Linked DNA regions of Drosophila melanogaster. The protein of the gene in region 2 interacts with the protein of the main gene of each other region in a pairwise test. Each region holds a gene or a part of one and is shown on either strand. Other genes may lie near its edges. The genes, in order: CG7148, CG14053 and SkpF.

The links.
Region 1: the proteins of CG14053 (region 2) and CG7148 interact in a two-hybrid assay, tested with the Drosophila melanogaster proteins (one large-scale study listed by BioGRID).
Region 3: the proteins of CG14053 (region 2) and SkpF interact in a two-hybrid assay, tested with the Drosophila melanogaster proteins (one large-scale study listed by BioGRID).

The regions. Positions count from the first base shown.
Region 1 is NT_037436.4:21,830,177-21,833,932, forward strand, and holds CG7148 (uncharacterized protein), read right to left. Parts: upstream 2,078-3,756; 5' UTR 1,921-2,077; coding exon 1,370-1,920; intron 1,311-1,369; coding exon 614-1,310; intron 557-613; coding exon 440-556; 3' UTR 368-439; downstream 1-367. Other genes in the region: Nopp140, read left to right, coding at 2,703-2,801, 3,004-3,756.
Region 2 is NC_004354.4:2,191,923-2,195,678, forward strand, and holds the start of CG14053 (uncharacterized protein), read right to left. Parts: upstream 1,988-3,756; 5' UTR 1,556-1,987; intron 1,138-1,555; exon of another isoform or gene 1,051-1,137; 5' UTR 1,049-1,050; coding exon 356-1,048; 3' UTR 1-355.
Region 3 is NT_033778.4:23,457,492-23,460,842, reverse strand, and holds SkpF (SKP1-related F), read left to right. Parts: upstream 1-2,083; 5' UTR 2,084-2,156; coding exon 2,157-2,672; 3' UTR 2,673-2,778; downstream 2,779-3,351. Other genes in the region: CG43795 (uncharacterized protein), read right to left, coding at 2,978-3,351.

The DNA.
Region 1 (3,756 bases), on a different chromosome or scaffold from region 2:
TGCAGATTAGATATCCATAGGAGCGGGAGTTACACTATCGATTGCATTATAGTTTTTGGGGAAACAACAAGTTGACTTCCAAACTACAAATTATATCTTACAGTTATTATACCTGGCAGTAGCAATATACATATTATCAGGGGTATTCAGCTAGCTATTTCATAGCTATAAATGATTCCCAGGGAACAAAGGTAAAAATGTTGCACGTTATCGTCAGCTCATTTTCATATTTATTTTATTAAAACAAATTTATTTAAATAATTTAACTACGGTGCTCTTTGTCACTACGTGAAGGACAGCCTTAGAAAACAACACGGAAGTCCGCATGGAGCACTCAAAACTTTGAAATAATAATCCAATTTGGCGTACTTTGTGCAACATAAATTTTAATAATAAATTATTGTATGAATCTACGCTTGTATATTTACATATTTTGAGGTCAGTGAAATTCAAATTGGTATCCGCGGTCCACAAAGCTCAGACCGCGTTCCGAGTCGACTGGAAAGTCGGCGGTGAAGACAATATATCCTCTATATTCCAAAGAGCTCTTTAGGTTCTGCAATGGATTGATTGATTAGATAAAAGAAGAGCGACATAAACAAGAAATAGTAACCGCTCTATCCACAAAGTCCTCAAAGCCACTTAGGTCGTAGTAGAGCTTCAGAGGTGGCGAACGTCCAACTCCCGTCTTCTGCTTGAACGGCTCCCGCCGCTTAAGAATACTCAAGGCCCGTGGCAAAAATGTTGGCGTCAGATTTCGGCAGTAGGACACGTCGAGGTGTTCCAATCGTGGACAGAGTTCCACGAATTCTAAGAGGATTTCGTCGCTTAGGTCATTCCAGTTGCGCACGCAGAGCAGCTGCAGCTCTGTCATACAGGTATAGCGCTTTAGGTAGTCTGCCGAATGAGTCCAGCTGCAAATGGCCAGGCGCTTCAGCCTGCGATGCGTCCAGATGGGCAGCTTCTCATCCCAGCCCGGTTCAAGGGGCATATAGTACCCGTCCACGGCAAAGCCGACGATGTCCTTGGCCTTGAAAGCCATGATCTCGTAGAACTCGCTGACCTCGCGGATCTTGTGGTCATAGCTATCCGGACTGACCAGCGGGGGGATATGCCACTCGTTGTCCAGCAGCACCACCAGTTTCCTGAGGGAGGGCAGCTCCAGAACGGCGGGTAGAATGGGTTTCAAGGTGGCCAGATTGAGCTTAAGATCAGTGAGGTTCTTAAAGCTCTGCAGGCAGTTTCCCAGCTGAAGTTTACTGATCATATCGTACGTCCTAATGTCCAGGACCCGAAGATCGTGCAGCGTGCTGTGGCGCAAACGGAAAATGAGTTGCGAAATATTATGCAGCAGAAGGTTACTACTTACCGGCACACCTCGTCCAGGTACTTCTGCTGCAGCTCAAACGCCTTGTGCTGGTCCTCGTAGAGGTGCAGCTCCTGCAGGTGCTGGAAGTTGGATAGGTACCGCCCGTCGATGGGTGTGGTAAGGCGCAACTTTTTCAAGCCCGGCAGCAGGCGGGCCAGCTTGCGGATGCTTCGGTTCGTGGGATAGCAATCGACGCCGTCTGGGTCGTAGTAGAAGCTGGTCACCATGGGCAGCTCTGCAATGTGCATTTCGTCCAGATCTTTTAGAATGGAGCACAGACAGCTGCTGCCGCCCATTTCTCTGATGTACGGACGCATTTGGGTTAGGAAGTAGACCAGGTCTTCATGATTGGGCAACAGTACCCGCCACTTCTCCAGATCCAGTTGCTCGTAGGCATGGCTGGTGCGCCACTTGCTCAGACATATGTACTGCACTCGCCGGCAAGTCCTCGCGAAGGACACTTCCGACGGCAGGTCCTGCAAGCGATCGAAAATCTCGGCCAGACAGTCGTCGTCCAATTGCAGAATTAGGGATCTCGGCTCGGAAGCCATGGCCCGGGATGCGATCCTCGCGACACAATCTAGGTACAGAGTCTGTTAAAATAGCCGGAGCGAGAGATAGTTTCTGTATTCTGGATCGTTTCAAGCAGGTCAACTCAATTGAATAACAAACAAAAATACATTTTGGTGCTCCCCCAATGTGACCAGTCGTGGATGGTCTGAATACCTCACGCAAAAAACGTAGGTTCCTTACATTATGTTATATATACGCTAATTGTTTGAATACAATTTAATAATACAGTTTAGTAATTTATATATATATACATAGACATATAGACATATATATATATAACAAATTTAACAATACAAATTTATTGTTATATATGTCTATGTATATATATATATATATATATATATATATATATATACAAAACTAAAATTACAAATTTATTGTTATATATGTCTACATATATACATATACATATATATATATACATATATATATATACATAGACATATATAACAATAAATTTGTAATTTTAGTTTTGTCTAACGTAGCCTAGCGTTATTTCTAATTTCAAGATCTTTGTCGGTGTGGCATAAATAAATGATTACAATTGATTGGCATTTTCGAGTTATTCTTGGGAAGAATACCCGCTGCATTGACAGTGTTGAGAAACGGGGTGCAGGGGTGGCCACACCGTTGGCAGCCGCGTAGTGCTGCCATACCACTGATAAGTAGAAAACACGTGTGAGTGCGCATTCTTTTTTGTGGGACAAGCGGCTAGTAATTATTTGCGGACGGAAAATATTGACGAATAGTTGAATTAATCATGACAGACCTGCTAAAGATAGCCGATGCAATCGTCCTGGAGTACTTGCAGTCCAAGGACAAGAACCTAGCCAAGGTTTTCCAGCAGAAGACGAAGGCGGTAAGTTTCAGTGCAGAGCGGCAAGTGCAATATGTGCGGTTTGGATGCACCCGAAACATGTGGTATCTGCGTCCTCCTGATCTAGAATCCGAGGGCCTTGCTGTCCGCCGATGGCTCATCGAGCTGTCCACCTGCCACTTGCTGCAAGTGCCACGTGCTTCGTCCAGATAACCAAGAATTTCTGCCTTTTTCTAACTTGCAGGCCAGTGTCGCCAAAAGCAGCCCAAAGTTGAGTGAAATCCTTCAGTTCTACCAGACCAAAAGCCCCAAAAAGATCCCAGCAATCAAGGCGACAGCCGGAGACTCCAGCGAAGACAGCGACTCAGACTCTGAGTCTGATGCGGCGCCTAAGAAGCCAGCGACAGCTCCTGCACTAACAAACGGCAAGGCTGTCAAAAAGGCAGCTTCTTCAACCAGCGAGGACAGCGATTCAGAGGAGGAGAAGAAGCCAGCAGCAAAGGCCACGCCGGCCAAGGCTGTCGGCAAGAAGGCAAAATCCTCCAGCGAGGACAGTTCCTCGGAGGAAGAAGCACCCAAAAAAGCTGCTCCAGTGAAGGCACCTCCGGCCAAGGCGGCTCCCGCGAAGAAGGTTGAGTCCAGCAGCGAGGATAGCAGTTCCGAGGAAGAACCGGCAAAGCCCGCCGTCAAGGCCACAACGACTAAGGTTGCTCCCGCCAAGAAGGCCGACTCCAGCAGCGAAGAAAGCAGCTCCGATGAGGAGACTAAGCCAGCTGCCAAGCCTGTAGCCAAGGCTGCACCGGCAAAGAAAGCAGCATCCTCCAGCGAGGAAAGCGACTCCGATGACGAGCCAGCCGCCAAGAAGCCTGCCGTCCAGCCTGCCGCAAAGCCAGCTCCTAAGGCAGCCGCTTCTAGTTCCGAAGACAGCAGCTCAGAGGAGGAGGTCAAACCCGCTGCTAAATCTGCTGCCAAGTTGGCTCCTGCTAAGAAGGGGGCT
Region 2 (3,756 bases):
GCAGGGCACAAGGGAGAGCGAGAAATTTCGATTTGAACTGGAGACTCAGCTTGGCGTTTATTTGGCTATGGATCGGTGAGCTATTGACCGAGATTCGTGTTGATTCCGACGCTTATCGCTGGGCCGGATAGTTGTTGTTGTCCCGGGTACACAACAACAGAAATCCGTATTTTCGGGCAGTCCGTGTTACTCGTAATCTCTAACGCCGCCGGCAACGAGAACAACAGCAAACAGTGGTCGTCGACGGCGAAGGAATCGACTGGAACAGCAACTGGTGCCATAGGCGTAAAAATAGCGGGATGGGTTTATAAATAACCAAGCTGAAACTAACAAAGTCCGACAGCCAGGAGCGGACTTAGTTCAAGCGGGCTCGCAGGCTAGCCAATTTAGCTTCAACACTTCGCCAAATGCTCTCGGGCAGCGAAGCACGCGTCTCCCTGATCGATGTAGTCCGAGGCGGTGGCATATTCACAGAAGATGACTGCCATACGCGGTTCTTGAAGGCCTCAAAGCCGATCGTCCACAGAACATAAAGGGCGTTCACCACGGACAGTGCCACGACCGCCTTTAGCAACATGCCAAAAAACGAAAAGCGACTTGGTTGATGCTCGGAGTTCCCACGTGGTTCCGGTTCAGTTTCGCTTTCTACAAATATTGTAATTGATACTTCATCATCAGATGCGGCATGACATGGGCATGCTGTCGCATCTTCAGGTATTGATATTTTCAGATCTGTTGGTTCCACCGCCAGTGCGTTGTCTGCATACTCCTGCGAAACTTCTGGCTGCGACACATCTGTCTGACTACCGAGCGTTACAAGAAGCTTTCCGCTGTAAACACTGCAGTCCAGTTCGACGTCATTTGTCTCCAGCAAATCGAAGTAGAAACTGGGGGGCGGTGTCTCGTCCTCCAGCTGGGCCACATCCAAAGACGCTATCCAATGGAACACCTGAAGGGGATCTCTCACGGTGCGCGATGACTGATGGACAGTCTCCCTTTCCCTCTCCACTCCGCATTCGTATAGGTCGTCCGATTGGGAGATGTCCATTACTAGAAAATATATACTTTTTTTAGTTTTTTTTTTTTAGTTTTACGGATAGAAGGAAATATATTCCGGGCTTCCGTAGTGTGTGAAATATGCTTGCTTGAATGAACATGGAGCTTGAGGCGCCTGACACTTGGCAACCGGGTATATATGTACATAGGTTCCTGTTCCAGTTCCTGCTGCGGCGCCAATTCGCTCCTTGCGGCAAGTCAAGCCTGCAGCAGCGCTCCATTTCATCCGGCCTGGACTCCACTATCTTATCAACTAGAAATGGGGCGTGGCATGACCACCCTCGGACGAACTATGCGGAATTGATTCCCACCACCATTCCCGTTCCCGGTCCCCCTCCCGCAATCACCCCTCCCAGCGAGGGCGTTATCAATGGCCTGGCATAATCGGCTATCAATATTGTCGCATTACGACAACCATAAACGCGGAGCGGGAAAGGGTTTGGGAGGGCAGGAGCCGACGGGCGTGTATATAGGATCACGGGTTGGTCGACCAACTCACCTGGGATGGCCTACCTGTGACCGAAGGCCCAGTCTAGTCAGCCTGGTCAGCCTGGTCTTGGGTCTGGTGTGTATTTTTAGCATTAGAAATCACTATTTGTACAGCAAATTATGCGATCAGTGCGAAGCGCGGTCAAGTCTGACTTCCCATGCTCGCTGACTGCGTGACTCCTCACGAGGCCGAGCTGTATGTACCGTTCCACCAAGCCCGTGTAGAGCATCAGACATTCGCTGTGGCCCGCGGGGAACTCGCCGTCTCATCGCCGACCTTGATAATGCACTTCTTTTGGCTGCAGCTTGGATGGCACGCGAGCCTAATCGATTTGTAATTTGAGCTGCAGTAAGGCTGCATGGGCAAAGTTCGATTGCGATTGCAGGGGAAATACAAAAATGATGGGCTGACTGGATGAATATTGCAGAATTTGAATAGGTAAAAACAAAAAAAATGTTTTGAAAACATAAAAAGTAATAGGGTTTGCCATACTGTGCTGCAATCTTCTGCAGCGGATAAAATTCGAAATGCAGGCGATGGAAATAACTGTTTATCCGTGTGCACTGTAAAATAAATTCATTTCTAAGCAAAAAGGAAATAAGAAGTGGGGTTCGACTTGGAATAGAGTATAATAGTGCTCAGTGTGGGTCTAAACAGGCTGTATTCGCTTTTTATGGCCGTTGTGATTTCGATTTACGCACAGTTCAACTCGAGCAAATTTGTTAATTAATATTTAACACTAAGCCAGAAAGGCGTAAGCAATCGAGACCACCCCCGAGGCCCCCCGCTGCCGCCCGAAAGTGCCGTGTTATTTGCATGCAGACAACACAATTGGAAGCACGAAACATGTACGAAATATTATAAACTGATAAGGTGCCTATAATTCACAGCAGATTGGGTCCGATCACTTGGCGGCGCTCTCCCTCTCCCGCTCCCACTCCTGCCCAGAGTTCTCCATGCGCGCTCTTTGGGGCTGACCACTGATAAGGAGCGAGGGAGCAGTGCGAGAGGCCTGGAGAGGAGAGTGCTTCGCTGTTTGCTTGTCTTTGCTGCCGTTCCTTCTTCGGCTGCTCGGCGCTCGGCGTTCTGCTCTTACACGGCTCGCATTTAATTTAATTCGTCGCCTGCCCTGCTGACAGCGACATCGGTTGCGTCTCGCCAAAAAGTAATACTCGCTCCCGCGATTTGGAAGCCAGTGAAGCCATCGGGAAAGGGAAAGCAAAGCCGGGAGTCAGTGTTAGAAGCACCATTATTGCCGTTCAGTGTGACCGAGTGTGCATTCACCGCAAGGACATATCGAGTGTGGCCAGTTGCTAAGGACGCTGTACGTCAAGCACCGCAGTCAAAGTGCGACGCGATCGAAATCGCATTCATTCAGTTTTATTGAACACTCGACGCCCCGTTCAATCCGTAATCTCGACGATTGGACAACTGCAATTGTAACGCGAAGAACACAAACTGTCAACAAAGTCGTAAATTCGCACACTGCGGCAGTAAAGTGAAGCAATCGAAGGGAAAAAAGCCAAAGAGTGCAGGCAGCAACAAGTTAATTACCAAATAACAGGCGAAAGGTAAGTCGCCTGGATCAGATAAGGTGATTGTAACTATCGCTGGGCTAGCGACCAGACTCTTAAATATGTGTGATCTTGTACATCCGATCGGATCACCGATCTCCGATAATCACACCGATCCAATCCTCCAGAAGCGAAGCGCCATCGCCTGGAGTCGGAAAGCCATTCAAATGCCGAGAATGCATGCATTTCGTCGAAACTATTTTTAAACAGATCGTTTCTATACTTTCGGCTTTTTCGGATTTCTCTTTCTCACTTGGCGCGCCTGCAGACCCAGAACGTGGGAGAAAAAGAACAGAAGTGCATTCATTGCTCCCCACCTCCTTTATCGCTCGCCAGGTGGCCGTGATCGATATTGATAGCTCCCTGATATTGATGTTGACTAAATGCGAGACTTGCGTTTACGACTGTGTGGACAAGATCGTTGGGAAAGATTGATCGTGATCCCGGGTGAAGTGGGGATATCAAACAGTGAAACTAAATTCTTCGAATTTAATCTGCTCGTCAAGTTCAAGTTGATACAGCAGTGTATGGCGAGAAGTTAGTTTCCTGCAGAAGTCCACAGGATCAATTTAGAGCACGTTAATAAAATTTTATTAATAATAAAATTAATTGTCATTAATTTCCCAAGCCGTAGAA
Region 3 (3,351 bases), on a different chromosome or scaffold from region 2:
AGGATCCCTTGCTGGCAGGGCGATAACAATGTATCACAAAACAATAACTTCAATTAGTATCTATCTGTGTAGCGCTTTCCCTGTGATTTCCCTTTGCTTTCCTCCTTCGAGTTTCCCTTTTTCCGCTGAAGGAAAAGTTTCCGGCCATCCTTGATTATGTTAACACAAGGAAAACTGATTAATACGGGTCCTGATTAGCCGCCATCCCTCCTGCAATTATGAACCAGTATCTGGGCAATCCATTGGATTTATGGATGTCGAGCTGGATAAATCAAGGAAGTGGAGTTCAGTCCCAGAGGCCACATTCCCCGCTGAACAAATAATGAAAACAAATGCCTGGCATATGACACTAAATGCAATAATGTTGATCCCGTGCCAGATCCGTGGCCGTTTGCAATTTAATTTATTGACAGTGAGTCTTTGACATTTTATTGCTCCCCAGGCCAAGTTACGACATTGTCCGCATTTCCCATTTTTCTCTCCTTTTCCCGCCTTTCCTCGCTATCGACCGACCTTTCCCCTCTGTCACTTAATTTGTCGAGCTGCTAGTCGTTTGGGTTAATTGTTTATTTGTGCGTTTTATTGACAAGCGGCAATCGTTCCTTGGATTCATCAGCTTGTAGTCCTGTCGTCCTTTCTGTGCGGCTTTTAACAAATGAGTTTTTCGTTAACAAATGGCTTTGATTTCCTGGCTCAATCAGCGCACAAAAAGTTGTCATCTAAGCTGGAAAATTATGTCATCGGAATTTGGTGACCATCGACGGTTGGACGATATCCAATGGCCTGTTGCACGAAGCCAGCCACACACCCACGTTGCCCTCGTTTTGGCTCAGAAAAAGTTTGCTTTTTTGCTGATTTCTCTATTGCTATTTGCCACAAAGACACTCAAGAAAAACAGAAGGACATAAATTCCAGGTCTAATGTCTGCACGGAGCACATCCCCATCGGCATTGACACATACGATGCGTGCATGCAGGCAAGGACATTCGTACACTTGGACTTTGGACTTTGGACATTGGAACACACAGGACTTTGGAGTCCGTAACTTTGGTGCTCGGACTTCATACCCAGATATGCGAAATCTGAAGAAACTTTGTGTTTATTGTGCCTGGCTGCTGAACAGAGAGAGAGAGAGCTGCCGAAGAAAAGAAGAGCTCAGAAAACATGGGAGCTGGGCTGGCATGTCCTTGGGATTGTCACTGGGGCGGTTATCCTGATACACGATACACTGCCAAATCGATGATGGAAGCGGAATGGACACGAGTAAACAATGAGCACACACATCAGATTGGTCAGCTTGCTCCGTTTGGCCAGCCTGGACAGCTGGAAATTCCAAGAAAAACCAAATGAATTGCCATCGCTTTGGTTGTCCAGGTAAATCAATGTCCTCCGCCAGCTGGCCTTCCGTTTTGGCCACAAGAATGGTGCAAACTTTTTGCTCGGCACGCCTGCCACGCTAAGTAATTGAACTTTTATCAAAAAATTGCACGCAGCCAGGCGGACGGAAAAATCGAAGGAAAATCGCAGGGAAAGCGATGGTAGTTCTGCCAACTATGGCCAACAAGCGACGAGAGCCACCGCAACAAGAAAAGCACATTATGCTCCTTGTTGACAAAGGACACGGGCCAATCTAGATGAGCAGAAAATGGCGAGTATCTGCTGCAAAGTGAACCCCGAGCAATGAGCGATGGTGAATTGAAAAGGGAAAATGGAGGCCAAATCCCTGGTTTTGTTTTTATTTCCGTATTCGAAATGGGCCCTAAATATTTCATATTTTTCTGTTATAACAAACAGCAATAAATTGTGCTGCAATTGAAATGTCCATTGTGTAGAACATGGTAAATACCATTGTAAGCGGCAATCAACTATTACTTATACAACAATAAATATGTTATGAAACTAAAATTGTGTATTTCTGCCAATATCTAATCGATTTTGCTCGTTATATTGAAATAAAAATGTTGTCTAAATTGTTAATAAATGCTATCTCCATTCCATGGACATTTGTTTGAATTTGATGAATCACCAATTTGTTTCCATTACGAATCTGTTCTGTTTAATTTTTAACTGTCAAGTTGGCACTGACAGATTTTCTTGAAAAGTTGAACTGTACCAGATAACCTTAAAGGAAAACCCTTTGTGGGCGAAAACGGACCATGCCAGTCATCAAATTGCAGTCCTCCGATGGCGAAATTTTCGAGACCGACATCGAGACTGCCAAGTGCTCGAGCACCATTAAGACCCTATTGGAGGATTGTCCAGTGGAAGCGGAGAACGACACTCTTATCCCGCTGCCCAATGTGAACTCGACGATCCTGAAGAAGGTCCTCATTTGGGCCAAGCATCATCGCGAGGACATTGCAGAGGAGAACGAAGAGGAAGCGGCCAAGTCCGTCGCTGTGCAGATCACCCCCTGGGACGCCGAGTTCCTGTCCATGGATCAGGGCACGCTCTTCGAACTCATCTTGGCGGCCAACTACCTGGACATTCCCAATCTGCTGAACGCCGCCTGCATGACGGTGGCCAACATGATTAAAGGCCGCACGACGGAGGAGATTCGCCAGACCTTTCACATAACCAACGATTTCTCGCCCTCCGAGGAGGATTTGATGACGATGGAGTCGGAAGTCCCGCAGGAGGACGAGGCGATAGAGTACGGCGAAATTATATAAATTCGAAGTGAACATTTTCGAAGGATTGATGCCTGTTCCGGATTAGAATGTAACTCGACATCCTTACCTATGCTCACAAAATATCACATAAATATCCTTCATATGTATCTTGACCCTCGAATGACCTTCAGGGAAAGCACACTACTTTCTTGACCGCAATTGTTCAGTACGGATTCCATTTCCATTTCCATTTTCACTTGCATTCGCCAACCGTCTGGCCGAAAACTTTCGATTGGAAAAGTTTGGCATGTGAATATGATGTGGGCTGAGTAACTCGGAAAACTTTGTCCGTGACATCCACTCACCTGGTCAGCATATTGGCGCGATTGACGGCCACCTCGGCCTCCACCCGGAACCTGTCCTGAGCATACCGGTCGACCACGCCCTCGCCCAGATTGAGCGAAGTACCAGCCACGCAGTTGGAGCCCATCAGATGCTGCTGCTCGATATACTGCAGGAACTTGGACACCAGATCGATCTTGCTGTCCCGCGCGTTAATCACGTCGGCGGTAAACTGGTTGGACTCCATGTTGTCGCCGGAATCCTCCTCCACATCGCCAATGACCAGCTGCTTGGTCTTGTCATCGACTTGCGCATCCGGCGGATAGCCGTCGTCCATGGTGACCTCGGAGGTGTCCAGTCCCGCCTCGGAATCGGAGTCGCCATCGCTGTCGAAGCT